Coturnix japonica: one gene and its partners. The protein of the gene in region 6 interacts with the protein of the main gene of each other region in a pairwise test. Links are inferred from orthologs where the notes say so. Each region holds a gene or a part of one and is shown on either strand. Other genes may lie near its edges. The genes, in order: MIPOL1, DHX15, BEN domain-containing protein 5-like, SSX2IP, CDR2, ZGPAT and zinc finger and BTB domain-containing protein 8A.

Region 1 (3,500 bases), on a different chromosome or scaffold from region 6:
GCACAGTCCTATCTGCATAAACAACAGAAACATGTATAACCTTTTCACTAAATGCTCCCCAGTGCTGAGACAAGAGGCAGTGAGAACAAACTGGAACACAGGAGGTTCTGTCTATCAGGAAGCACTTCTTTACTGTGTGGATGGCTGAGTGCTGGCACTGGCTGCCTAGAGGCTGTGAAATGTCTTTCTTGTAGATCTCCAAATGCTACCTGAATGTGGTGTTGGGCGACTTGCTCAGGGTTTCCCTGCTTGAGCAGGGGATGGAGCAGTTGAACCCAGAGGGCCAGCCAGCCTCAACCGTCCTGTAATTACATGAAATGTTCTTGACCATTCAATGGTAAGCTCAGACATTTCTCCATAAACAGAGCCAGTGAATTCCTAATTAAAAGATTAAAATATCGTTTTTCTATCAGGTGATGCACATTGAAAATTATGCATTTACAGCCCTTCAGACATAAATTATGTCAGTGCTCTTGATGGGAAATAGTCTACTCATACAGACACCACCTACATCATATTCCATGTAACTGAACTTTGTTAGCTAGAAGGACCACAGACAGAGTTATCGGAAGAGGGGATTCCCAAAAAAAACAATGGCATGCACGTTGCTGCTTTTCTCAAAGAGCAAGATAAGATAATTGATCTTAAATAAATAAAATTGTCCTTTAAATTAATAAATATAATAAATTGAATTTCTGTGGTATTACCAATATTTGTATTTTGGGGATAAGAAAACTGTAATTTAATATTTTGTTACACTTGTTCATTTCAGCTTCAAGATGAGGTGTTGGAAAAGGACAAAGAGCTGAAGACAATAAAACTGGACTTAGAACTGCAAGAGAGAGCTACAGAAGCTAAGATTGCAGAAAAGATTGCAGGTATAGTAGGCAAGCGTTTAACAGATGGCTATATGGCTCATACAGTACCAGCGGTTGCTATATGACGTGGCCTAGTGAGTGTTAGCTTTATTTGCTAAAGGAGGGAAGATTTGACTTTTTTTTTTTTTTTTTGTGTGCGTGTGGCTGTTTAGAGTTGCTTAGAAAATAGGTGGCTTTAACATCCTGGTACTGGTATTAGCAGGAGCTTTACCTGTATTCATACTGATTTGGGCATTAAATGCATTGTTAACACCATGTCAATCCAATCACAAAAAGGTTGTTTGTTTTGTTCGAAGGTCCTGAACAAACAAGGGGAAATAATGATTACCAGTGCCTCTACCTTTCAACCAGCAGTTCAAATACCACTTATTGTTTTAGCACATTCAGAGCAATACTACCCCTCTCTCAGTGTTTGAAGGTAGTCGCACATTCACCTCAGCTAGAGACCTGCACTTTTCCTGAAAATATGTGTTCTTCTGGCAGTTAATTAATTTTAGTCTGATTATGTTATGTCTTCAGTGAAAGAGACTTACACAAATAGCCAAAAGGAAAGGTTTTGAAGTTTATAGTTAAGAGTGGATGCATGCTGATATTTGTTATTCATCCTTTCGTATACACACAAGCCTGGAAACAGTTTGCATTCTGTGGTTTCAGAAATTTCTAAAGTAATGAAGGTGAGCATTTTTATTATTATTTAAAAGTGCCAATGTGTATCTTGTACTCAGTGGATGAAATATTCTCCATGTGTTTCAAATGAATAAATAAGAGTACTTTTCTGAATTAATCATGCTATTTGTTTACAAATACAGTGTAGGCTAGGTAAAGTTGTGTCCTTGTGGAGGACAAATATTCAAATAATATTGATAGTAATAATACCTGTCCCCAAAATATCAGTACTGGAATAAGGAGTAACTAGGAAAACAGCAATGAAAATAAACTGAAAAAACAGATGGCTGTCTTAACATGAGACTCCTGAGAGTAAGTTTGGCTGTGCATATTACAAGTAGAAGAAAATTGCTAAATTTTCTGTGGTAGAGAATGAGAAAGGAGAAAGTAGATATTAGAAGTCAAGTTTAAGTGAAATACAGGCAGAATTTTGCTCTTCTAACACCCTAAATAATCTTGTTTTCTGTATTTTTAGAAGACAAAAGAAGGCTGCACTGCATACCATAGTTGCATCCATCAGCCAAATGCTAATGCAAATTGTTTGGGTTGAATTCCAAGTTTTGTGTTTGTTCTTGGATGTTTGCACAGTGTTTTACCTCTGTGCACCTGTAACACATAAATACTCTATTTGATATAGGTGTTAAAGCCTCGTTAAAACCTGGAAATGAATATATGACTGTCAAAATGCTATTTAGTCTCCCTGTTATGGAAACAATTGAAATATTTGTTAGTAAATTGTCTTCTCTTGCATTACTGTTTAAACTTTCTAATTATGTCCTAAGCATGATGTTCGCCCTAAAACAGCATGGCAGGTTTATTGATAGAATGATTATCATAGTTATTACAATTAAAAAAAGAAGACATGCCAAATTTTAGCGAGAGCTGCATTGAGTAATAAAGATCGTCTTTTAAAAAGATAACCTTTTTGCTCCTTATAGTGGTTCAGGAAGTATAAAATTATTTAAATGCTGTGAGAGAGGATAAGAGCCTTAGTACTTAAGCTGTTTGGAAAAAGAAAAAAAAAAAAAAGCCTTGTTAAAGTCTACCATTTTTGCTTCTAATTTTACTGTTCTAAGACTCTTCCTAAGTTTGAATAAACATTTTGAGATCTGGAATGATGTGAACTAAGATGAATTTATGGAGGTCTGTATGTGTCGTTGTGGAGGTCTATACGTGACTGTCGTAAAAACCTTGGGGAGAATTCTAATGGACAAGTAGAATCTAATAAAGACTCAGTGTGTTTCAGGAAAAAGTTTTTTTCCCTTGCTTTAAGTCTCCTTTGTGGAAAGGAGAACACGTGCTGCTGAGATTTCATGTTACTAGTTAATGTTTAATTACCACAGCATATAACACATGGTAGAGCGACGCTTGTAAATATGGGTGTTTGCATTTTTATTATTGCTTTGTACTGACTTTATGATAAGAAAATGACTCCACAAATTATACTGTAAAAAACATCAGAAAGGTTCACCATAAAATGTTATCTACTTTGAGGAATATTACAATTCTATTTTTAAATGGAACTCTCTCTTTGATAGATTTTACCTAAATGAGCCCTTTGGCAAGAACAGAAAAGCTGAAGACAAGGGCCATCTTAAAATTTTACTATAGTGGTCTTCAGAAGGAAGTAACCTAAAGCTTTTCATTTTGTGATTTTTACTTTGTTCAGAGAAAAACATAAAGAGGAGAAGTGCAAATTTGTGAGATGGTTTGTGTGAGAATAAAAAAGTGAATAATAAATGCAGAATAGGGACATGGTGGAAAAAAATGTTTACCACATGCAATAAATGGCTTATTTTCAGAAGATTTTTATTTTAAGATTTTTCTAGACTGGAGTTTATAGTTCAGGAGGGGATTCACAGTTCTGATTGCAGATGCTTGACCATTAGAGGCTGTTATTTCTGGTGGTCATATTTGCCACAGATTACTACCGTTTCTTCCCTAGCCTGTTAGATT
Region 2 (3,500 bases), on a different chromosome or scaffold from region 6:
TACAATTCTGTGATTATACTGAGCATGGCTTTATCTCCTGCTGTCCTTGTAGCCTACAAGAGAGATGACATGAGTAAAAGTTGGACTCAACTATTAACCAATGACAGTTGTGAATTCTACCCTAACTTTACACAGAAAGTTCATTGGATTGAAGTATCTCAGAACAGGCAGAACAGTGCTCCTTCCTCTCCTGTCTTACATTCCTTTAAAAAATGTGCCTTTCTTTTGGCTTGAAAATGGACTTCAACAATCCTCACTGCTTTCATCTTTGATCTCACAGGTCTCTGTGTTTCTCTGCCCCCTTTTTTTTTGGTTGGTAGTTATCTTTGAAAATCTCTCTATTGAAGTCATTGAGGTTGAGATTTAATTGAGGTTCCTTTTTATTAAGGAAATTTAGGATTTTTATATTTGCATCAGTGGAGTTAACTTTGGTCTGTAAGATCTAGATGATGGAAGTTGTTTCACGTTCCTGAAAGTGATCATCACTCAAGTAACAAACATACATCATGGTCCTTTGTCTCTTTTAAAGTGAGACATGAAAACTGTTCTGATGGTCTTCTAAATCAGATTCATGTGTTGAAGTCTACATAGGCTTTGTCTTTCATTTGGTGACAGCATTGTAGGTTTTGTTGTTTCTTTGAAAATGGCCTCTAAATTATTTTTATTTCCCTTTACTGTGTCCTGAGAAACCTGCTTTAAAGCTGATGTCAGGATTGGCTTTGTTTAAAGTTAAGAAGCTTCTCCTCATTCAGAGTTGAGTTTTTATTAGTCACTTGAGAAGCAGCTTCATTTTTCTACACTCCACTCCTGGAAAGTGTGTATGTGCTACTGGGTAGGATTCCAGACTCATGTCTTCAGTATTTATGAGCTGTTGGTATTTTTAGTTTTGAATAGGATTTTCTGAGTTCTTTTGTTCAGTTGTTAATCTTTGCTTTTTTTAAATTTTATTTCTGTACTTACAGTGGGGGGTATGTTCTCCTTTTTAAGAAAAAAATAAAACAGCTTTTCATTAGTCTACAATTGTCTGTTGTGCATATGTTCAGTTGTTTCCATTTTGCTGTAGAGATACAGCATTTGAGAAGGAAAATCTGCCTAGGTTACTTAAAACTACACAGTTCTTCCTGCTATTCTGTATTGGTTCATGAATGGTAACACTTTCTTTTTCTGTAATTGTGAGCCTTTTATAATAGTTAAAACCAATTAGTAAGGAGGAATAGATTTTATATCATCTGTAAACTTAGGACTGGCTCTGCCTGGAAGTTGTCTCCTCATGAAACATCACATGGAACATGTTAATAATATTACATTTTCTTCAGGCTGTTACTGACCTTGCAAAGTCTTCAAAGTAAAGCTGTTTATTATTCTGACTTTCTTGGAAAACCAGTGCCTGACAAATAAGCAAAAAAGCGTGTTGTTACAGAAACTGAAACACTAGGATTTCATATCTAGTTTATAACAATTCCAAAGAACAGAAGTTAACCAAATTAGCATATCTTGTTTATTTGTCATGATTCCTGGGTAGGCAAGTTGTATATAATTAAAATATCTTTTTTTTTTTCATTAATCTACATTAATGAACAATATATATATATATATATATATATATATATATTATATATTATATAGATATATATTTTTTTTTTAAATGCAAAGTATAATTTTAAGCTACTGAACTAACAGTGCTCAGAGGTTCTGTGAGCCTCTTATTTCCTTGATAACTTCAGAGATAGTTACATACTTGCTTAAGGTGAGCATGGTTTACTTAATTGTGTTGAGTCTAAATACTCTGCTTTTCTACTCTGGATATTTCTGTACATACAGTTGTCACCTCAGTGAAATTATGAATATATTTATTTGATATAACCACTGTGTTATATTTATTGCATCTGGATATTGAAGCTGTGGTTGAAACTAATTTTGTTTTATTTCTATTTCTTGGCAGATCCCTCAATGGTGTGTTGACTACATGCGCTCATTACCTGGACCAAAGAGGGGAGTAGCATGTACCCAGCCGAGGAGAGTGGCTGCAATGAGTGTGGCACAGAGGGTTGCTGATGAGATGGATGTAATGCTGGGCCAGGAGGTTGGTTACTCAATTCGATTTGAAGACTGCAGTAGTGCAAAAACCATTCTCAAGTAAGTACGGTGACTGTCCAATAAAGATCCCTGTGGAGGATGTTAGCAAGGTTTTGGAAAGAGTAATGAGGAAGTAAGAGTGAGTGGAAAAGAGATGGAAGCTGTAGTGTCAGGTGAAAGAAATATAGAACGTGGGTGTGGCGTAGACTTGAAAATGAGTTGTTCTTAAAGAAAAATGATGTGTTGAGTTGACTTCTATCAGTGGTAACTTAGTACCCAAGATAATTCTGGTGAAGTTTAGGAGTTTACTTCACTAGTAAGCAGAGGTACTAGTAAGCTTCAGAACTGATCTGTGCCTAAATCTATGGCACATAACTGAAGTTTATGTATGCTAGTGTTTCATTTATTAGCTATTCCAGATTCCACTGCTTTGTAGGTGAAACCAAGCTCACTTAGTATGTGGTTTGCAGATCACATTCACAGTGCTCAGTTAAAAACGAAACTATTGCAGGAGTAGTGTTTCTAGGATTTGAGTTGTATCTTTTTTCCTTTTTTTTCCCTGTCTTTAAATGTAGATCTGGAAGTTTGCCAGTAATAGTCTTAAAACTACTCATTAATGTTGCCAAAACTTGTTGACCCTCTCACTTTTTAAGCTTAATCTCTACTGCCGGATTTCATTTATATACCCTATGGTAACTTCTGTGTGAAAATGAAAACGGATTTGTTGCTTTGCTGGAAATAGTTCTTCTATTCTAAAAACAAGGTTTATAAAGGCTTTCTTCAAGCAACCTCATAAATAATAAGAAAGGGGATTCTTTATCAGATATAATAAATAGAATTGTCTTTGTATTCAGGTATATGACTGATGGTATGTTACTTCGTGAAGCAATGAATGATCCTTTGCTGGAGCGCTATGGTGTTATAATTCTTGACGAGGCCCATGAGAGAACACTGGCTACGGATATTTTGATGGGAGTTTTGAAAGAAGTTGTAAGACAGAGAGCTGATTTGAAGGTCAGTAATGATGAAGCCTAGCAACATCTTTGTGTTCAGCCATGCTGAAGAAGAGTGTGTATGCGTTTACCACTAGGTAATTATAAAGAAAAATAATCAACTGACAAAGATCGAGAGGCTTTTTGATCTGTTAATGGTGAACTGTATTAGAAAGGTAATGCTAGGGAAGGCCTAAGTGCAGTTTGTATTAAAGAAAATACTAGAAAGTCAGTTATCTGTACCTTTCCATATTTAATTAGGATGGTTTTTTGGACATGGAAATGAAGGTGCTGTACTATAGTGATAGAAACATGCTTAAATCATGGCTAACATTGAGTTTAGTTTCCTGCTGCTGTATTTTGTTTGTGTAACATTTCTCAGGTCATTGTCAGCCTTTGGGGTAACTTTTTTATTGTCTATACCTACAGGTT
Region 3 (4,131 bases), on a different chromosome or scaffold from region 6:
TTCCAGAGCTTGAATCTAGATGTCCCTCGATGGCTTTTGACTGCTGGCACAAAGCAAGGAACAATATCCATGTTCCAACAGGACTTCTAACCCCATCACAAAGCCCCCTTGGTGCACTATTTTAGACAGATATTTCAGTCACTGGCACAGGAATGTGGCCGAGTTTGAAAACTTGTGACCGTGGATGTGGTATAGAAATATGTCGAGAATGAAGAGAAAAATAACCAGAGCAGTATGAACTGAAGAAAGAATCAACAAGGCTGCAGAAGCCAGGGAAAAACACAATGAAGAGGAGGTAACAGACCCTACAGAAAAATCCAGCTGTGTAGAACCATGTGAGTCTTGTTATGAGGTGTTGCACTGGAGGAGAAAATGCACATAGCAGATAGGAAGACAGAGAGTAAAGTAATATTGAAATAACACCACTTTAGGTGGAGAAAGATGCAGTTTCACTTGCCTTGATTTTCAGGCTTGGAGCATTTCACTAACAGGTCACTGGTCTCTGTGGCAACATTAATTTATTAGCTGTAAGCAAGCAAACACATAAATGTTTATGTAGTCATAAACAGTCTTGCCCATTTCCACTGCTCAGCATTGCACACACACTTCCCATTTCAGTTGGCCGCTCAGTTTGGTGTGTGCTCACCCCTCGTGTCTGTCTGTGTATGTAAATACAAGTGACTCAAGGATCTGTGCTTGCACTTGTGACACCGCCTGTCCCGTGCTTAACCTCGCAGAGGACATCACACAGAATCACAGAATTGTAGGACATGTGATGAAGGTTTTGTCTCAAGCTCGTGTTAGTGAGACACAGTCAGACCCAGCACCCCGTGTCTTGGGGGAAACACACACATAATTAACTTCTCTGCACCGCAGAACTCACTGCTGTATTTGCCACATGGTGGGTGTCACCCAGCGGGCCTGCAGCGCACGTAGGAGCCCTCCCGTCCCCAAGAAGCCTGAGTGTATTTGCCATATGGTCGCACTCACCTGCTAGGGCGAGAGACAGACGGGCAACACACACACTCATAATGAAGCCCCCCACTGGGCTGCCCTAAAAAATGAGGGGGAAAAAGCGGCTCCCTAATAACAGCTCCGTAATGTGTGGGCTTTGCGGTAGGGCGGGACGGTAGCGCACCTGCAACCCAGCGATGGCAGCTCAGCCATTGCCGCTCCAGGGCTGGCTTTTCGAGTGCGGGGGGCAGTGACAGCGCAGCATCCCTCCACCTCTTCTCCCCTCCCTTCCGTTCCCGTCTCTCCACGGCGGCTGCGCTCGGGCTGAGGGGGAGCGCGGGGCTCCCCCGGCGGTGACGTGCGTTGCCATGGCGAAGCTCAGGCAGCGTCTCGCTCCGTGGTGGGGGGGGGGGGGCTGAGGGGATGACAACAAATATGGCGGAGAGGAGCAGGACGGCAGAGACGGGTCAGTGCAGCCGCAGGCGCCTGGGCGGGGGGAGGGGGGAAGAGATCCCCGTCTCCAGGGGATGAAGGAGAGGGGCTTCAAGCAGGGAGGAAGCCTTACTTCCAGCAGCCTTAAAGCTGGAGTGCGGGTAACGCAGCTCATCTCGCCGGGGAAAGGGAGGGAAGCTCTGAGGTGCAGAGGGGGCCCGGAGCAGGGAGAGAGCCCACAGCACGGGGAGCTGAGAGGAGGGGAGAATCCCATTCCAGGGGCGACGTGGCCGTGGGGCAGGGAAAAAGGGCCGCGGGTTGGCTCAGGACCCGGCGGGAACAGCTCTGGCTGCGGGGCTTTGAGGGGCAGCCAGCGCCGCGAGAGGGGACGGAGCGGTGTGGTGAGGAGCAGAGCAAAGACTGTGCCCTCACACGAGAAACCTTCCCCTGCCTTACCTAGAGTGTAAAATAAATAATACGCGAAGGCTGAATGTTGGAACTGAAGCCGCTCCGCCGTGCTGCTGGCTCCGGGCTGACCTGCAGGTGCTGCCTGCCCTGTCTTTGGGTCTGTAAGGAGCGCTGCACTTATGGCATGTGAGCCGAGGGGTGAAGTGGGATTGTCTCATTATGCCCCTGCTGGCAATAGCTCTGGCTGTGTGTGTGAAGATAAGTTTGTGGATGGAACTCAAGTTCTGGGCTTCTTCAGGTGCGGTATGGATTGTCTAGGTAGAGGGGTCTCTCCTATTGTAACAGAACACAATGAAGGCCTTTACCACCTCACAAAAGCTCCCAAACTAACTTAGGAAAATCTATCAACATTGTGAGGATGAAACAAAGGTGATGACGGCTTTTCTGAGTGTTTAATACCCCCACAGCATCATACACGTGAATTTCCTAGATTCCTGGACCAAAAGCTCATTTTCATTGCCTGCTGTGCTGCTGTGCATGTGCTTTTATCCCCCAGAAGTGGCTCCATGTGTATGGAAGATGCACTATCCATAGAACTGACATTGGATTTTTGGACCACTCGAGGTGAAATAAAGTGAAAAATATGTGAAATACTCTTGTCCTCTGAAAAACAATACTACAAAGGCTGTGTCTGAATAGGTTGGCCTAAGGTTCTTGAACTCCCAGTCTGTTTCAAGCCTACTCTTTACGAAGCCCTGAAACAGCATTGAGAAGTTTCTTATACATTAAGCTTTCCATGGAGCAGGTGATTTGTTTCATCTGCTGTACAACACTGTACTAAACACAGCTGATCTGCTTTGACTGCGCCGTGTAATGGAACACATCTCCAGTGGCCGTTTGACTTTGTCAGCTCTTCAGCAAACTTCATCCACCTATGCCTATGTGCTTGCCAGGAATGTTCTATATAACATGGTAGAACTTGCTCACTATTTCTGGATTATTGCATAAAGTTACTTTTACATTGAGTTTCCTGCTATATTCTTTAAATCTGTATCTTTACAATATTTGGTTTCTGTTTTTAACTCTGTCATGCCCATTCCAACTGGGTAATCCATCATTTTCTTGTACATGCACCCGTTCCATGAGCTTGTGGTGAAATCAAGTTTTGTTGCATGTTCTTGATACATGTTCATCTCAGTTTTTCAGTGCCTCTCTGACTGTTTTGAAGCTCTAATTTGCAGCCCCCTCCCTGTCTGGATTACTGGCTGAGTAACTTCAATGCAAAAAGCTACAAAAATAGGAAAAAAGTCCTGACAATTTAATGGGACTTGAGGAAACTGAATGAAAGAAAGTAGTGGTCTTGGCCCATTTATTTAGAGAGGGCATAGAAAGTAGGCTCTGGAAGAAGCGTCTGTCTCCCACTGCACTTAGTTTAGGTTTTCAACACTGATGTCATATATTGTAGGTAGGGAATATTCTTGTTCATGTCACATCCTACTTCCTATGTCATCACGCTCTGTCAGATTTGGGCCATTCTTGAGGAGATGTGAGTCCAGCTCTGAGTCCTGCATTTCACACACGTTTAATTTTTTTCTGTGTGGTTGGACTGGATGATCTTTGAAGTCTTTTCCAACCTTGGTGATTCTATGATTCTATGATTCTATGATTCTTTGATTCTATTGTTTGCAGGGAGAACAAAGCTATGAAAGAACAACCTTGTTCAAACTACTTGAGTTGATTTAGCCACTGTGGCTCTGTTGCACTTGCTGTTACATTTTATTTTTTTTTTGGCAAATGTTTCTGTTCCTGAGTCAGAAGACACAAATAATAGCTCTCCTATCTTTTCTTCTTGAAGTATTGTTATTTCTTATTTTCAAACGAGAAAACAGCACTACAGGAACTCTGAAGGTAACTTACCTATGCTTTACGGCAACACAGATCACTCTGTGTTATGGAGTTCATTATATTCTTGTTTGCTTACATGCACCTGAGGTGTTTTCAACCTAAGTTTAGTTTTGAAAGTACGCTGTGTCAAGAGGTTCTGTATATCAATTATACTTTACGGAAAACATACCTTTTGGTCATGTAAGAGTTTGTATTTCAGTTTTATTAGTATTTCCTTATTTGTTTCTCACAGGAAATTAAAAGTTAATTGTTCATACACTGCTCATTGTAGTTATTGTTTCTTTATAAAATCTTTCAATATTTTAATTCCTTCCTTCCTTCCTTCCTTCCTTCCTTCCTTCCTTCCTTCCTTCCTTCCTTCCTTCCTTCCTTCCTTCCTTCCTTCCTTCCTTCCTTCATTCCTTGCCTTCCTTTCCTTCCTTCCTTCCTTCC
Region 4 (4,242 bases), on a different chromosome or scaffold from region 6:
CAGACACAATGTGGATCAGTCCATCTCTTTCTGAATTGTAGCTGCCTCTTTACTTTCTCGTACAAGTTACAGTTTAATCCTGCTTAAATTTATTTTTATAGAGGTGCATTTTGTATTCAATTTCACAAAGCGTCCCTTTAATCCCCAACCTTCCCAGTACTTCAGTGTCTTTCTTAATCCCATTTTTTTTAATCATTATTATTCTTTAGCAAAGAATAACAAAGAATAAAGGATAAATAAATTTTCTAAATTTCTCTATTCATTTATGCTATAAATTATGTTTATAAAAGAAATATGACAAATGAATTTTAAGAATAATAATCTATATCAGAGAGAGGAACAGCTATGAAGTACCAAAATTGGTTTGTTTGTTTGTTTGTTTTTTAAGCTGCAAAATTGCAAGGCAAAGTGATCATTCATCCAGATCATTCCACTAATTCAACCTAGGCAAGGAAGCTATCAGCATGAAAAATAAACAGAAAACTGTTCAAGGAATTTCAGTCTTAAAATTTTGGTTACTGTGAAAGACCAAACATCAACTACAGGATATTTATGGTAAGTTTGCTCAAGAGAGCACAAGCAATAGTTGATGTCCCTACTGCGTCTCTTAAGAACCAAAATCTCCAATGGGTCCACTCTTTTTTCCTCACTAAATCCTACCTACCTACGCCTTGGTGTAAACCACTTGAAAGTGTTTGTCACTGTGGTTTAGGTAGTCTTATATTACACTGAATTAGTGCATTATGAATAAAGAGCAGTGTTAGGCTATTTTTTATAAGGTAAAGTTTGCTCTGATTCTGTTGCCTGAAAGCATCCCATAAAGACTTCTCTGTTTCTGGCCAGCCCTTTAAAACATAAACAAAACCCAACCCACGACACACAGGAAAGCACTTGGGGATTTCTCATGTGAATAGCACCAACTTCAGAAACAGCTGCTAAGATCAAATAGACGCAGGGAATTCAGGAGCACACATCCCATCCATTATCTTCTAAAGCTGCAGGAACTTAATCCTTCCCATGAACAATGTCTGTTGTCTCACTTGCTATTACGATTAACATATTACATTCTGTGTAAGACTGCTTTCTTCTAAGAGTGCACCTGCAGCAGTGCTGCAGTGTAGAAGTCCAAAGTTCCTACAATTAACCCGAGTCATAAAACAAAACAAATATACATATATTGCATTGCAAGGATTGATTTCCTAACTCTAAAAAGAACAAATTATTAAAACATTTATTACTGTTACTGCCAAACCAACAACTGGTATTTCTGCAGACACTGGCAGTGTGCTGCCTACACAGCAAGAACTGATCAGTGTAATAGTTATTAATAGTGTAATAGTTATTAATAGTGTAATAGTTATTAATAGTGTAGTAGTTAGTCACCTTGTAATAGTTATTTCTATCTGCAGGGTGAGCTAATCATGGTCTGCCAACACAAAAGAGAAATGGCCTCAATTCCAGTCCCAGTAATAAGAGTAAATTCCATTCATGGGAGTTAAGTTTTGATGAGAACTTTGAAAGTCTGGTTTAGACCTTATTTTTCATTCTCGAGCTGGTCAAATAAAAACACATGGAGGTAAAGACCTGTAGGATTTCTTTGTTAATCTTATAAATTTATCATGCTTACAAGATAGTGATGGTAATACAGCGGGTTGGAATACACGACTGGGTTTGTGGTTAACCAACATTTTTCTTTTGCAGTAGCACAGTGAATATGCAAACTCTGATGTTACCCAGTACGGGATGGAGTCGCACCAAGGGAGGTTTGGACTTCGAGGGTGCCCATCCCTGCAGGTGTTTAAGTGGCACCGAGGGATACGTTTTAGGGACGGGACTCGGTAAGCCAGGTTTGAAACGCGTTTTTCAGACGAGCGGGTCCCAGCGGGGCACAACTAAATGCTGAATACACTGTTGTATGGAAGCAGACGCCGTTCCGTGCCCGGCCCCGCCCCGGGGCGCTCTGTCACCCCGCAGCCCCGCTCCGCCAACAGGTGTCCTGCCCCAGCAGGTGCGGCGCGGCCCGCAGGGGCGGTGCGGGCCCGTGGGGGAGGTTTCCTAGCAACCTTCCGGCCAATGGCAGCGGCGCTGGGGCCCGGCGCGGGGTCGAGGCGGCGGCGGCAGCTGCGGGACACGGGGCCGCGCGGAGCTGGGCCGGGGCCGGTCCTTCCTCCCTTCTTCCGTGTGTGCTCGCCGCAGCAGGTGGTGCTACACGGGGCTCCTCCTCCTTCTCCTTACCGGCGGTGTGGGAGGCGGGTGTAACAGCGGGTAACGGACGCTGCGTGGCCGTTGGTGGTGGGAGGGCGGTCACAGCTCGACCTGGCTGCGGGCTGCCTGCGGGGGAAGCCGCGGTGTGGTTGGTGCTGCTGGGCAGGCCCGGGCTGAGCCGTAGGGCTGAGGAAAGCTCGTCCCTGGACGCAGGCCCAGCGCCTGGCGGTGTCCGCGGGGCGGCGAGGTGGGAGCCCAGGAGCTGTCGGGCGGCGTTGGTCCTGCCAACACCCGGGAACAGCCCTGTACAACCCTGCCCGCGGCTGGTCGCGTTCCGAGCGGGGTGGGAGTGGGGGATGTGCGGCTTTGGCATGATTGAGTGCTGCTTAAATCAGAACCCCAAATCCTGTTTGTGTGGATTGAATTGTAACGCAGGATGTGCTCGTGGTGTTGCTGCAGCCCCTGTTTGCGCAGAGCGCCGTGCTGCCCGTGAGGTGGTTACACAGGGCTCCGTGTGCTGCGATGTATGACAGGAATTCGGGTATTTCAGGGGAATGGCTCCGATCGGGAGGTGTGCGGAATGAAACGCGAATGTGCGGGGTAAATGTCGGTGCTAAAACTGAAACGGGATTTGATGCCATTGATGAAGGTTTCGGAAAGGAGCGGGGGAGAAAAACGTTCTTTCTGGTCTGGGAGAGAGAAAGCGCAGTATCAGTCATTGGCTGGGCTGGAGAGGGCACAGGAGGCAATCCCAGGTTCCTTGGGTTCGGTTTGTCTCTGAAAGCGGCTGGCAGCAGATGCTAAGGGAAAAACGCTGCTGAGCAGCGATCCCTCTGTCAGAGTGTCCTCCCAGCGCCCTGCACCGCGGAGCTGAAGGGCTTCTGAGCTGAGCTTGCTTCTTGCATTCGGTGGCTTTTGATGTGTGTCATATGATTACAGCCAGCTCATATAGTTTGTATTCCCTGCACATGGTGATGCGAGTCTATTATTTAACAGTGCTTTTTTTCCCCAGCCTTCATGCTAAATGTCTCATTTCATTTTGCACAACTGTGTTAAAAGAAGGGGTGATATTTTTCTATACGTGTTTCTGTACATGTTTTGTCCTATTTCTCTAGCTGCTCTAGCGGAAAACTTGCAGCTTGTTAATTTCTTGTATGGAAGCATGGGCTGACCTTCCACCGTTCTCAGATGTTTTCTGCATTTTGTATAGGGAAGGTCATAATGATGTGTGCTCTTTCAACTGAGGAATCTCAGTGTTTGTATGGAGCCATTATGATGTTCATTTTTTTTTGTGTCCAGGGCTCCAATGTTTTGTTAACTGCCCAGAGGAGTAATCACAGTGACTCTGTGATCTCTTTTTGCATGATTGTGCTTAACATAGAGCCTGTTGGATTAAGTACACAGCTGAGTTGTTGTTGTGCTTTTTTGCTTCCTAATAATAACAGTTCACAAACCTGGATTTTTGTTACCATTTGTGAACTATGAATACAACCTTTTGGGGTTCTTATCATTCAATCTTAGTGTTTATTTTTCTAAATAACTCTGTACCATGAGTGAATTTTCTCACTGACCTACCCAGCACCTTTGAAAGTTCTCCCAACAACAGAAATGCCACAAACAGATCCCATTTGTGATTAATTTTTATCTCTTTGGGGCATTTATGGGGCATGCAACACTTATACGATACTTAAAGAAGGAGAAAGGGGAAAATACTTAACTTTTCCTACTATTTCTCCTTCTCCACCAATAATCACTCATTAGTAAATCCTTTGGCATGGTAGATTAAGAGCTTTTGTTAGGAAACATCGAGGAAAGTTTTTTGGAAATCCAGTTCTTCAATCTCCTGGCATTCATTAGAGAAAGTAGTTACATTGATGACCTTCCACTCGTTTTACCTGGTGCCTTTTTTATCTTACAGGTTACCTGCTACTGAACCTTGTGAATTGCATTGTTTCTGAGAGCTGGAATGCTAAATCTGGCTCTGCCCTGTAAGTGTTATCAGCTTTAGGAACAGGTGAGACTTGCGTTCCCTTCCTT
Region 5 (4,124 bases), on a different chromosome or scaffold from region 6:
ACATTTAATTCTCTAACAACATCCAAAGGTCATTTATCGGTAAGAACATGACTCAATTTGCAGATAATTGAGCGGGGCCGTCATGCATGTCATCAAATTCATCTGTTACGGAATTTCCCATTTCCAGGTGATTACACTTTGCACCTCCCCAACGAGTTCGGCTTCATAAACTGAACCGAGAAACCTACAAAGAACAACAGCATTGAAACGATGGCCGCGTGAAACGTTCATGCTTCAAAAGAGGGATATAAAGAAAACGTGAAGGGTGATTCGCTACTGAAAACATCGTGTTCTTGTTAGAAGGTGTATCCACATCTTCACAAATACACCGAACGTATGTGAGACCTCGGGGCTGCGACCCTGGGCAGGTTCCAGTGCAGAACCGCGGGCATCTCCCTCGGATACACGCTGGGCATTAACATTCTCGAGCCGTATTGACTCAGTTCCTTCCTACGCACGAATAAGAGACAAATCGCTCCCGTCGCTCCAGAAAACTCCCAAGTATCGTTTGTTTCACAAAAGGCTCCGAACAATGCGCCTCCAGCGCCATGACTCACAGCTGCGCGCAGGGTCTGACTCGGCTCCCTGCGTTATTGGCACGGCTCGTTTATGAACCGGCTCCTGGAGGAGCTGAGGTCCCACACACCTCCCTGCCCCACAGACGTGCTCTTTAATTGTACAGCAATTAACACGCGTGAGCCGCCCCGCACAGCACAAAGCGCTGCGGGCTGAGGCACAGCGCAACGGCTGCTCCTGCTGCAGCGCCGGGCACAGCAAAGAACCGGCACCGCTCAGGGAGAGCCGGGAGGAGAAGGTTGGGCTGCCCGGCACTGCGGGGCGCACAGAGCGGCACAGGGAGCCAAGGGACGGAGCCGTCCTGTCAGAGCCCTCACAGGGAGCGGCAGCAGCTGAGGGGCTGAGGGGCCTCACGAGGCGATGAGGGGCTCCGCGTGAGGAGACGCCCCGCGGGGACACGCAGCAGCACGGCCGGGCAGCTGCCACGCCCTGCCCCGCTCCCAGCGCCCCGTGCCGCCTCAGCCGCACCGAGACAACCCGCGGCACCGACACCACCGCCAGCCCCGGCCCCGTCACCGGCCCCGCTCCCGCCGCCCCTCCCGCGGGCACCACCGACCTCCTCCGCCCGGAGGCCGCGCAGCGGGACGCTGGGGCGGGGCCGGCCAGGCGGGACCGACCCCTCCTCCTCTCTCATTGGCCGCCCGCCACGGACTCGCCTCCTGGTTGGCCGGCGCTCCTTTCGATCTGCCCTGCGGGCGGCTCCCCATTGGCTGTCGGCAGAGGAGGCGGGGCGTAGTGTTTGAATCGCGGCCCGGCGGTGGGCGGGCGGTCGCTCCGTGCCACGTTGTCGCCGGCGGCTCCGCGCGGCCCGACCAGAAGGGGGAGAGGTTCGGCAAAGTCCGGAACCGCTCGGCAATGCCCGGAGCCGGCTGGTAAGGCGACGAGCTGCCGGCTCGCCCGGCCCCGCCGCCGCCCGGCGCGAGGTGAGCGCGGCCACCGGACCGAGAGGGGAGAGCGCGATGCTGGCCGACAGCCTGGTGGAGGAGTTCGAGATCCGCGAGGATGAGCCGTGGTACGACCAGCAGGACCTGCAGCAAGGTGGGCGGCACGGCACGGCACGGCACGGCGGGGCGGGGGGTCGGGCGGAGGGGACGGGGCGGATGGAGGAGCGCGGGGCGGCGGCGGGGAGAGCACGGGGCGGGAGCTGGGACCGCCGGTACCGGCACGGTGCGGCTTTGTCTGACGGAACGGGCGGCTGCTGCCGTGCCCGGCCCTGCCGGCAGCGGGGCGGCTCCGGGGGCTGCGCCCGATGGAGCACGGCCGGGATGGGGCGGCGGGACCACGCGGGAGGGAGAAACGGTACCGGCTGAGCCGCGGGCACACGGCGATGGATCTGCGGTACAGACATCGGCGGACGCGGCGATGGAAAGAACGAGCCGGGAGCTCCGGAGCTCGGACCGGGCGGGACGGGCGGCTGCTCCGTGCGGGAGCTGAGTCGGAACCCGCCGTACGAGGCACAGGGCAGCGCTGGGAACCGTCCCGAGGCGGCAGCGCTGCTCCGCGTGCTGTGTGTGTGTGTGCGGGATGCTGCCGCGGCCACAGGTTATAAAGAGATCCATTGAAATGAGGTGCTGAAGCCATTGTTTGCTGTCAAAGGGATGAGCTGAAAATCTGAAGTCAGGGTTTGGTATTTTTCCGCGTCGTTATTTGTGGGGTAGAAGATGTGCATGGTGGAGCCGTGCTGCTCTCCTGCCGTGCTGCTTCAACTTCGCTCTTTGCCACCGTGAGCGAATACTCGCCCTTGGTTCCCGGCCGGGGCTGGGCACTGCTCCGCTCCAGGGGTCGCTGACTGCTCTCCCTGCACCTGGAACGTCTCTTCCGAAGGATCAGCTTCTCACGAGCCCAAGTGGAAGGCACTGACAGCCTGCCAGAGGGAAAGGAGAAAGTGAACCGATGGGCAGGCTGAAATGCAGATAGGTTCCTTAAGGGAACATCTGTGAAACGTCCTGCTATAGTGGACTTGTACAGTCTGGAAAATAGTCATCATTCTAAAACCAAGCAACACAAGTGCACATAAATGGAGCAGCAAGGCTGGGCACTAGTGAAACTTATCACAACCCACCAACCAGAGCACGTGTAGAAATCAAGGAGTGCGTTTGTGAGGACACATCACTGAACACAAACCTGCAGCCCTTCACAGCCTGCCCAGGAGCTCAGGGAGGGCAGCAGCTGGACAAACTTCCACTTAGTTTAATTTTACAGTTAGACTTCAACTTAGACATCCTGTACTACAAAGGCATTCTACTACTGAATAGACTTACTTTTAGAACAAAAATCATCTGAATTGCTTTGTTAGATGGGCTATGAAAGCATAAAATAAGAGTTTAGTACCACGTTCTGTCTTTTGCTCAGCTACAGAAACGCTGCCAACAGGTAACAGGAAAAAAGCAGAATTGTTGTAGGATGTTCACATAAAAGTGCTGCGTGCTTCTAGTATCACAGAGTGACTCTCAGACAAACGTGTTCTCCTGTATCAGGAGAATGCACTCTACATTTGACTGTAGGTATCTGCAATGTAGAGACACGGGTGCACAATAAATTGTTAACTTCAGAACAGGTCAGATTGGTTCAATTCTTTCCTTTTCTAGGGGTAGCAGTTTGAGAAAAAGCCCTGAAATAGGCTGTGTTTCTTAACAAGGGGTGTTACAACAAAAAAGCTATGTGAGGATAAACTGCGAAGTGTAAAGCAGCGAGCCACGCGGCTCCCAGCTCTAACAAGAACTTGTATGCAGGGTGATTTGTTGTAAATAAATTCCAGAAACATTATTCAAAGCATCTGACAGCTACAGCCCGTTGTTTCCTACCTTAAAGTACATGTAATGGATACCACAGCTGTTGTTTGTCCTGAGCAGGACATCTACAGCTTACACAGACAAGTGAATGGGAACATTTTTCTGTTTGGTCTGAATTCAGTCTTTGGTTTATGTATCTGGACCAAGTGCTCACTTCAGACATGCTGCCAAAGTGAAGGTTAGCACAAAGCAGTCTGGGAACAGCCCTCTGTCTGCTACAGCAACCAGCTGATAAGGGAACTGGGGAAGGGCAGGAAGGAGATGAGAAACACCTTAAAACAAGGGCATCTTAATCACATGAAAACTGAGAATGTTTTCTTGTCTAACTAGAACAGCGGGTGATGCAGTATGTCTCATGTATTCATTTCAGGCATCTTAAAGAGAATCTGGGTTTTTCTTGAACCTCCTTCTGCTTCTTTCCCATTAGTGATGCTATCCCTACCCATATGAGAACTAACAAGGCTGCCTGCATGCAGGAGAAACCTGGTCAGACCCAGGTAATGGGAAGGAGGTGAAAAGTAACGTTAGAAATCTGTTGAATTTGGAACATGTAATACCTGCACAGTGTAGTTACTATTTTAGCAATAACACAGGATTGATTTCATCACGTTATGTTAGTTTTTAAATTGCATGCATCTTTAAACATAATAATATGAAACATCTAGCAATACTCATGCTGCTTCCCTTCAGAAAGGAGCTGGGTGTTCAGATGACTTATTTCTTAATATGAAACAACTACAGTCACTGTACCCTGGA
Region 6 (4,124 bases):
TGATCTAAACTTCTCCCAACATCAGATTAATAAGTGACATTACTCGTTTATCAGTAACTCTTAAGCCAACCCTAGGACAAATCACAGACACAAAAGGAAGAGTGCAAACAGCTCAAGATCCAATGTTCAAAACATGATCTTCCAAGTAGCTTAACCTGTGTTTCAGCACACAATGCACAGCATCCATTATGAACTCACTTCTCAACTCAAAGTTTGTTCTCTCTTGGACTTAAGAGCAAGCTAAAGTCTGCTTGAAAGTAACTTAGAGAACATATAAGACTCGTAGAAAAGAAGCCAGTGGTGTGCAGATATAGAGGAGTGTTCTGAGCAGGAATGTGCAGGTTGGTGCCCCCTCACTTTGTTTATGACAGTATTATGGGATCTTCAACAGCTGAACCGAGCTCACAGCCAGATCACAGGATCACAGAATGAGCCGGGTTGGAAGGGACCTCAAGGATCATGTAGTTCCAACCCCCCTGCCTGGCAGGGCCACCAAACATACACCTTTACTAGATCAGGTTGCCCAGGAGACCCCATAGATCCCCATAGAGACCAGAGAGACCCCATAGATCCCCATAGAGACCCCATAGATCCCCATAGAGACCCCATAGAGACCCCATAGATCAGGTTGCCCATGGCCCCGTCCAACCTGGCCTTGAACACCTCCAAGGACGGGGCATCCACAACCTCCCTGGGCGGCCTGTTCCAGGGCCTGACCACTCTCCTAGTGAAGAACTTCCCCCTAACATCCAACCTAAATCTTCCCTCTTTTAACTTCAAACCACGTACCCAGGCGGTGTGTGTAGGAACCCTCACCTATCCCAAACCCTCCTCTCTCCAACAGCAGTGCTGCTGCAGCACCCGCTATACAAGCAGTTGGTCACAACACAACGCCCCTTAGACCCCCCCTGCCCCACAGCCCGCAGCCCTCCCCGCCGTCCCCACCCCTCAGAGCCCGGCTGAGCTCTCAGATCCCTCCACAGTCCCTCCGTACCCCGCAGGCCCCGGCCCGGCCGCACAGCGCACACCGCAGCCCCTCACCCGGTACCGGGAGCTCCTCCCGTCACCCAGCGCCGCCTCGCTCCCCCACCACACCAGCCGCCGGCGCCGTCCCTCGCGAGGCACTCTGGGAAGTGTAGTTCTCACACCGCCTCTATGGCGGGGAGGTGGGGTTATTTTAAACTACAACTCCCAGAATGCTCAGCGGCGCCGGATGCGTGGGGCGGGCCCGACTGCGCAAGCGCACTACGGAGAGATTGGTCGCTGAAGTGGCGTTGCGCGACAGCTGGAAAAGCCGGAAGTGGCTGCTCAGAAGGGCGGAAGTGGGGGGGGCGTAATGGCGGCCGTGCTGTGGGGGTGCGGGAGCTGAGCGGGGAGGTTCGGATTGAGGCCTAAACCGGGGCCTGGCTTCTATTCGCAATGGATGAGGAGAGCCTGGAAGCCGCCATCCAGGCCTACAACGCCCAGCTGCAGCAGGTTGAGCTGGCTCTGGGGGCGGGCCAGGACCCCTCGCAGCGATCGGATCTGATTCAGTTACAAGAAGATTTAAAGCAGCTGATAGAACTGACCGAGTCCAGCCTGGTGGCTGTGAAGAAGAGCAAGTTGTTGGCTGCGTTGGATACAAGCGCCTCCTGTGTAAATCAGCGTGAAAATCCCGATAGCTGTGCCCAGGATGAGGAATATGCTGCCTTCAAGGAAGCCATTGCTGAGCTGGGGACTGATGGTGAGCCCTCAGCTGATAACAGCGAGAGATCTGCGACGGGAGACGAAGAAAGCAAGGAGAGTGAATTGAAATGCAGCGAGGAAGAGTCTGATAGAGAGGAGGAGGAGGAGGAATTGAGTGGGATGAAGGTTAAAGCGCCGTATTACAGCTCGTGGGGGACGCTGGAGTATCATAATGCCATGATTGTGGGGACGGAGTACTTGGAAGATGGCAGTGCAGGTGTCAGAGTGCTGTATCTCTACCCCACTCACAAGTCCTTGAAGCCGTGCCCGTTCTTCTTGGATGACAAATGCAGATTTAAAGAGAACTGTCGGTAAAGAAAAATATGGAGGGGGAGGGGGCTCGTATCCTCGCTGCTGATAAAGGCCGTGTGATTCAAAGGCTGGAACATCTGAGTGTTCCACGCTGGCTGTTGTAACCAATGGGATTTTGCAGTGTTATTAAAATCCATTATGTATGGTAACAGGTGGTATCAAAGAGCTGGACAGTTCAGGTAATGCAGATATGAAGTGGAAATCCCTGTGGGCAAGTTGCAGAGATTTTACCTGATCATTCCAATAGCTACTTTAGTCACAGGCTTATGAGTTAAAACAAAAACACCCAGGGCTGTCTGTTGATGGTACCTTTGTTCCAGCTGCGGGGTCTCCATCTTTGGAGAGCTTCAAATCTAACCCAGATGAGGCCTTAAGCAGCCTGATCAGGCTTTGAAGTTGGCTTTGCTTTGAGCAGGAGGCTGAGATCTCTGTGTCTGTGTGCAGTCCTCATTATCTCAAAAGATCTGTGATTTTTCAGAGATCTCCCTATCAGGGAAAGCTTCATTCTTGGGAGTGGGATTATTTCTTCTATTACACAGCATAAATTATATGAATATGGTGAAAAACGAATGACTTCTTTAATTGAAATGATGCATGATAAACCTTCTGATGCAGATTCATCACTGCTGACAATTTGTTTGAGTTTCCTGTCAGGAAGGAAGGGGTTTATATTTCAAGCCCTTTCTAGTGAGGTAGATCTGACTCCTTTTCTGTCTTCCCTGGCAGGTTTTCACATGGCCAGGTGGTCTCTGTGGAGGAGCTTCAGCCTTTTCAGGAGCCCAATCTGAGTACCCTGGAGGTGGGCTCAGCCTGCCTGGCCAAACACAGTGATGGGATATGGTATGCTGCCAAAATAACTGGTGAGTGGTGTTTGTGGGTGTTGTGCCAGAGCTGTGTAGAGATTGAGCACCCATGCTGAAGGAATTACAAAGTATGACCGTTTTGGTTAATGATAGCAAACACTTGAGGATGTAGCTGTGGCCTTGAACTAAAAATCTGGAGGTAGTTGAGAACGTGTTCTGAGTTGTGTCAGGCTTGGGAAGGGAATAGGATAGGAAATATACATGCATATACAATTGCATATTAGAGTAGAACTGCAGTAATCTGGGAGCTGTTGATAGAGGCTCCCCTCTGTTCTGAGAAGTTTTTTTCTTTGGCACTTGTTGGGTCAGAGGGAGTAAGTCAAACTTCTTTTTAGTTCCATTTGTTGACAGCCCATATTCCTCTATTTTTATAAGTAAATCTCTTAAGCCTTCAGCTGTTTTAACACGTGTTCTTCAGGCCTTCCTCCTCTCCCGCATCATTCCCTGAAGCCAACTTTGAGGAAGCTCTCTGCAGTGTTTGTATTGAGAGTTTACTTGAACTCTTGTTTCTTGCTTTTCCTTCTGTAGATATTGACAGTGGTTACTACACGGTGAAGTTTGATTCCCTGCTGCTAAAGGAAGCTGTTGTAGAAGGAGATAGTATAATTCCCCCACTACGAAGCGAAGATGGTGCCTCATCTGCTGAATCTGATGAAGACAGTGTTGATGATTCTGGTTATGCTAAAGGTGAGAGGGTGGTGGGGGTGTGAGAGAAGTGCCTTGTGATCTGTGTCTGCCTTCTGTCACCAGTATGAGTCTGGTGAAGCTCAAATGTTTCTGTAGCAGCAGGTAGAGGGCGCAATGTTTTATAATGGAGTTCCAGTTCTTAGTCTGTTTTTCAAGTGGGTGTGTGAGCTGAGCAAGTAAAACAGGAGACTTCTAATCTCTCCGGAGCCTACACAGAGCTGTATAACACAACAGGAGTAAGAGATCCCAGGCACAGGTATTCAAACCTCCCAGTGTCTTGATGAGTAACAGCTGTGCCTGGCTTTTTACTATGAAGAGGTGACACCAACAGAACCAGGTTCTCTGAGCATACACAGATAGCACTCTGTCTGTGCCCCTGTTTTGTCACAGGGACAAAGCTGTGTCCTATTGCTCAGTAAATTCAGCCTAATGGAGATTATTGAGTGCTAATAACACATCATTAGCATAGTAGCCTAGAGAATCCTCATGCTACTGACATGCACTGGAGGCACTAATTAAGCACATTATGTGCCACAG
Region 7 (2,199 bases), on a different chromosome or scaffold from region 6:
AGGCTGGGCTGAAGGTAGGAGGGGGTCTCCGTGCTGTGTCAGTGAGAAACACACAGTGCTGAAGGAGCATTTACCAGAAAGGCTTTGTGTTTTCAGGGATGTAGGCTTGGAAAGCTGAGATCAACACTTGGAGAGTGATGAATGAGTGAAGTTGAGCTTTGCAAAGTACATATTCTTCATGTCTTAGAGCTACACAGTCACGATCGTTTTGGTTTGTTATTCTCACTGTAATGTTGCTGATAGCCCCGCTCCTTTTCCCTCGATGTTGTAATTTACACAAGAGCTGTATCTGAAAAGACCTACAATGTCTTTAAAATAGAAGCCATTTTCTGTTCTGTTTCTGTTGCTTTCAGTAACTGGAGTAACTAAACGACGGGTATGTTACGACTTCTTTTAAAACTCCAACTGTTTCCCAGCAGACGATCTGCCCAGGATGAGGTTCAAGTGCCCGTTCTGCACTCACATGGTGAAAAGGAAAGCAGACCTGAAGCGTCACCTGCGGTGCCATACAGGAGAGCGGCCGTACCCGTGTGAGGCGTGTGGGAAGCGGTTCAGCAGGCTGGATCACCTCAGCAGCCACTTCCGCACTGTACGTATTGTTGGTAACCGTGAGTTTCACTTGATGTGTGAGTCCATCTCAGTGTGATTAAACACAGTGCCAGCCTGTCTGGTTGATACATTGACTCCCGTAAAGAATAGGGAGTAGATAATTAACTTGGTTTTGCTTAAGTCCATTTGAAGCATAATTCCAATGAAAGAGGATGAGTTCCTTTGTTGGCTCACAAAGGCACTGCACTGCGTGAGGTCTGTAATGGGATGAAGTGCACAACTGGAGCTCCTGTGGATGTCTCGTGATTGATGTCTGACCGCTGCTCACAATGAGTTAATGCTGACATTTGATGGCACTCTAGCTTTACTTTTTGTCATTAAACGCTTCCTCTCTGATGCTGTATAAATGGATTCCTCTCAATTTTCCCAGATTCATCAGGCCTGTAAGCTGATCTGCAGGAAGTGTAAACGCCACGTGACGGAGCTGACGGGACAGGTGGTGCAGGAGGGGACCAGGCGCTACAGGCTCTGCAACGAGTGCCTGGCTGAAGCCGGCATCGACAGCATCCGCATTGACTTGGAGGCTGAAGCGCCCCTTGAATTTCCAGCAGACGGGGATAAGGATTCCAGGTGGCACTACGGGGAAGACAACAAATCCGATGTGGAGATCGTGGAGGACGGGTCGTCTGACTTGGTCATCCAGCAGGTTGATGACAGTGAGGATGAAGCAGAGGAGAAGGAAGTAAAACCAAATATCAGGTAGTTGTGAGACAAACACGAGTGCATGGAATTCCTTTTACGTGGAAATCCTGTCTGCCCGTGAGCCCTCCACCAGCCTGACATCTACAGAGACCTGCTGGCTTCTCTTGGACAGGGCCAGACTTGCATGTGTTCATGGACATATCATTGAGTCCATCCTGAGTTTTGCTATCGAAATCCCCATACTTTGCTTCATTAGAAATAATGTGCCCTCAATGGAGTAACGGCTGATCCCGGAGGCTGAAGTACAAGGACGAGGTTTTACGGTACAGTGAGTCTCTTCTCAAAACCTCTTTCAAAGAGGTGAGGTCTAAATGCTTACAAAAGTTGCACATCGGTGTAAATTACTCTTCAGCATTCAGAAATAAAGATAATTTTCCATGAAATTTCATTAAGTCTTCATATTATGTCATGATTAGAAAAGCTAGGCAAAGAATTAAGAAAAAGCATATAAAAATGTTTAGCATGTAACTGGAAAAGCATTTTCTTGTCAAACTTATTCCCTCTGAAAATGGGGAACTCAGTCTGAGATGTGTTGTGTTTGGGCTGGAAGGGGAAAACTGTGTCAATGCAGGCCTGAAACCTTAACTGCAAACAGCAAAGATGACACTATTAATTCCTGTGTACTCCAGGGAGTTTCTAGAAGCAAAGGGATTTCTGGATCAATACCCAATTTAATTAGATATTGTACATCTAAGAATAGTGGGACTGGATTCTTTAGGGAAAAAAAAAGATGTGAAGTGGCTACAAGGGGCAAATGGAACAATCTGCCCATAGGAAGACATTAAGTACAGGCAAAAGAATTACTGATTTGCCCTGGTGGAGCAGGGTTTTATTGCTTTTATACACCTTTATTATTCTCAGCGCCATCCCTAAATGCTTGTAGTCATT

Evidence for each region.
Region 1: the proteins of ZGPAT (region 6) and MIPOL1 interact in binary tests that used the Homo sapiens proteins (3 or more experiments, as listed by UniProt). The two-hybrid records come from large-scale screens. The link is inferred for Coturnix japonica from reciprocal best matches to the Homo sapiens genes ZGPAT and MIPOL1.
Region 2: the proteins of ZGPAT (region 6) and DHX15 interact in binary tests that used the Homo sapiens proteins (3 or more experiments, as listed by UniProt). The two-hybrid records come from large-scale screens. The link is inferred for Coturnix japonica from reciprocal best matches to the Homo sapiens genes ZGPAT and DHX15.
Region 3: the proteins of ZGPAT (region 6) and BEN domain-containing protein 5-like interact in binary tests that used the Homo sapiens proteins (3 or more experiments, as listed by UniProt). The two-hybrid records come from large-scale screens. The link is inferred for Coturnix japonica from reciprocal best matches to the Homo sapiens genes ZGPAT and BEND5.
Region 4: the proteins of ZGPAT (region 6) and SSX2IP interact in binary tests that used the Homo sapiens proteins (3 or more experiments, as listed by UniProt). The two-hybrid records come from large-scale screens. The link is inferred for Coturnix japonica from reciprocal best matches to the Homo sapiens genes ZGPAT and SSX2IP.
Region 5: the proteins of ZGPAT (region 6) and CDR2 interact in binary tests that used the Homo sapiens proteins (3 or more experiments, as listed by UniProt). The two-hybrid records come from large-scale screens. The link is inferred for Coturnix japonica from reciprocal best matches to the Homo sapiens genes ZGPAT and CDR2.
Region 7: the proteins of ZGPAT (region 6) and zinc finger and BTB domain-containing protein 8A interact in binary tests that used the Homo sapiens proteins (3 or more experiments, as listed by UniProt). The two-hybrid records come from large-scale screens. The link is inferred for Coturnix japonica from reciprocal best matches to the Homo sapiens genes ZGPAT and ZBTB8A.

What each region holds. Positions count from the first base shown.
Region 1 is NC_029520.1:33,564,278-33,567,777, forward strand, and holds part of MIPOL1 (mirror-image polydactyly gene 1 protein), read left to right. Parts: intron 1-772; coding exon 773-878; intron 879-3,500.
Region 2 is NC_029519.1:66,716,344-66,719,843, forward strand, and holds part of DHX15 (pre-mRNA-splicing factor ATP-dependent RNA helicase DHX15), read left to right. Parts: intron 1-1,942; coding exon 1,943-2,136; intron 2,137-2,930; coding exon 2,931-3,090; intron 3,091-3,497; coding exon 3,498-3,500.
Region 3 is NC_029523.1:20,985,405-20,989,535, reverse strand, and holds the start of BEN domain-containing protein 5-like, read left to right. Parts: upstream 1-1,331; 5' UTR 1,332-1,377; coding exon 1,378-1,420; intron 1,421-4,131. UniProt on the Homo sapiens protein: Acts as a transcriptional repressor.
Region 4 is NC_029523.1:14,404,853-14,409,094, forward strand, and holds the start of SSX2IP (afadin- and alpha-actinin-binding protein), read left to right. Parts: upstream 1-1,442; 5' UTR 1,443-2,265; intron 2,266-2,282; exon of another isoform or gene 2,283-2,452; intron 2,453-4,123; 5' UTR 4,124-4,219; intron 4,220-4,242. UniProt on the Homo sapiens protein: Belongs to an adhesion system, which plays a role in the organization of homotypic, interneuronal and heterotypic cell-cell adherens junctions (AJs).
Region 5 is NC_029529.1:8,363,024-8,367,147, reverse strand, and holds the start of CDR2 (cerebellar degeneration-related protein 2), read left to right. Parts: upstream 1-1,324; 5' UTR 1,325-1,535; coding exon 1,536-1,614; intron 1,615-4,124.
Region 6 is NC_029535.1:9,383,898-9,388,021, forward strand, and holds the start of ZGPAT (zinc finger CCCH-type with G patch domain-containing protein), read left to right. Parts: upstream 1-1,324; 5' UTR 1,325-1,419; coding exon 1,420-2,036; intron 2,037-2,763; coding exon 2,764-2,897; intron 2,898-3,428; coding exon 3,429-3,587; intron 3,588-4,124. UniProt on the Homo sapiens protein: Transcription repressor that specifically binds the 5'-GGAG[GA]A[GA]A-3' consensus sequence. Represses transcription by recruiting the chromatin multiprotein complex NuRD to target promoters.
Region 7 is NC_029538.1:4,576,839-4,579,037, forward strand, and holds the end of zinc finger and BTB domain-containing protein 8A, read left to right. Parts: coding exon 1-14; intron 15-416; coding exon 417-589; intron 590-979; coding exon 980-1,312; 3' UTR 1,313-1,699; downstream 1,700-2,199. UniProt on the Homo sapiens protein: May be involved in transcriptional regulation.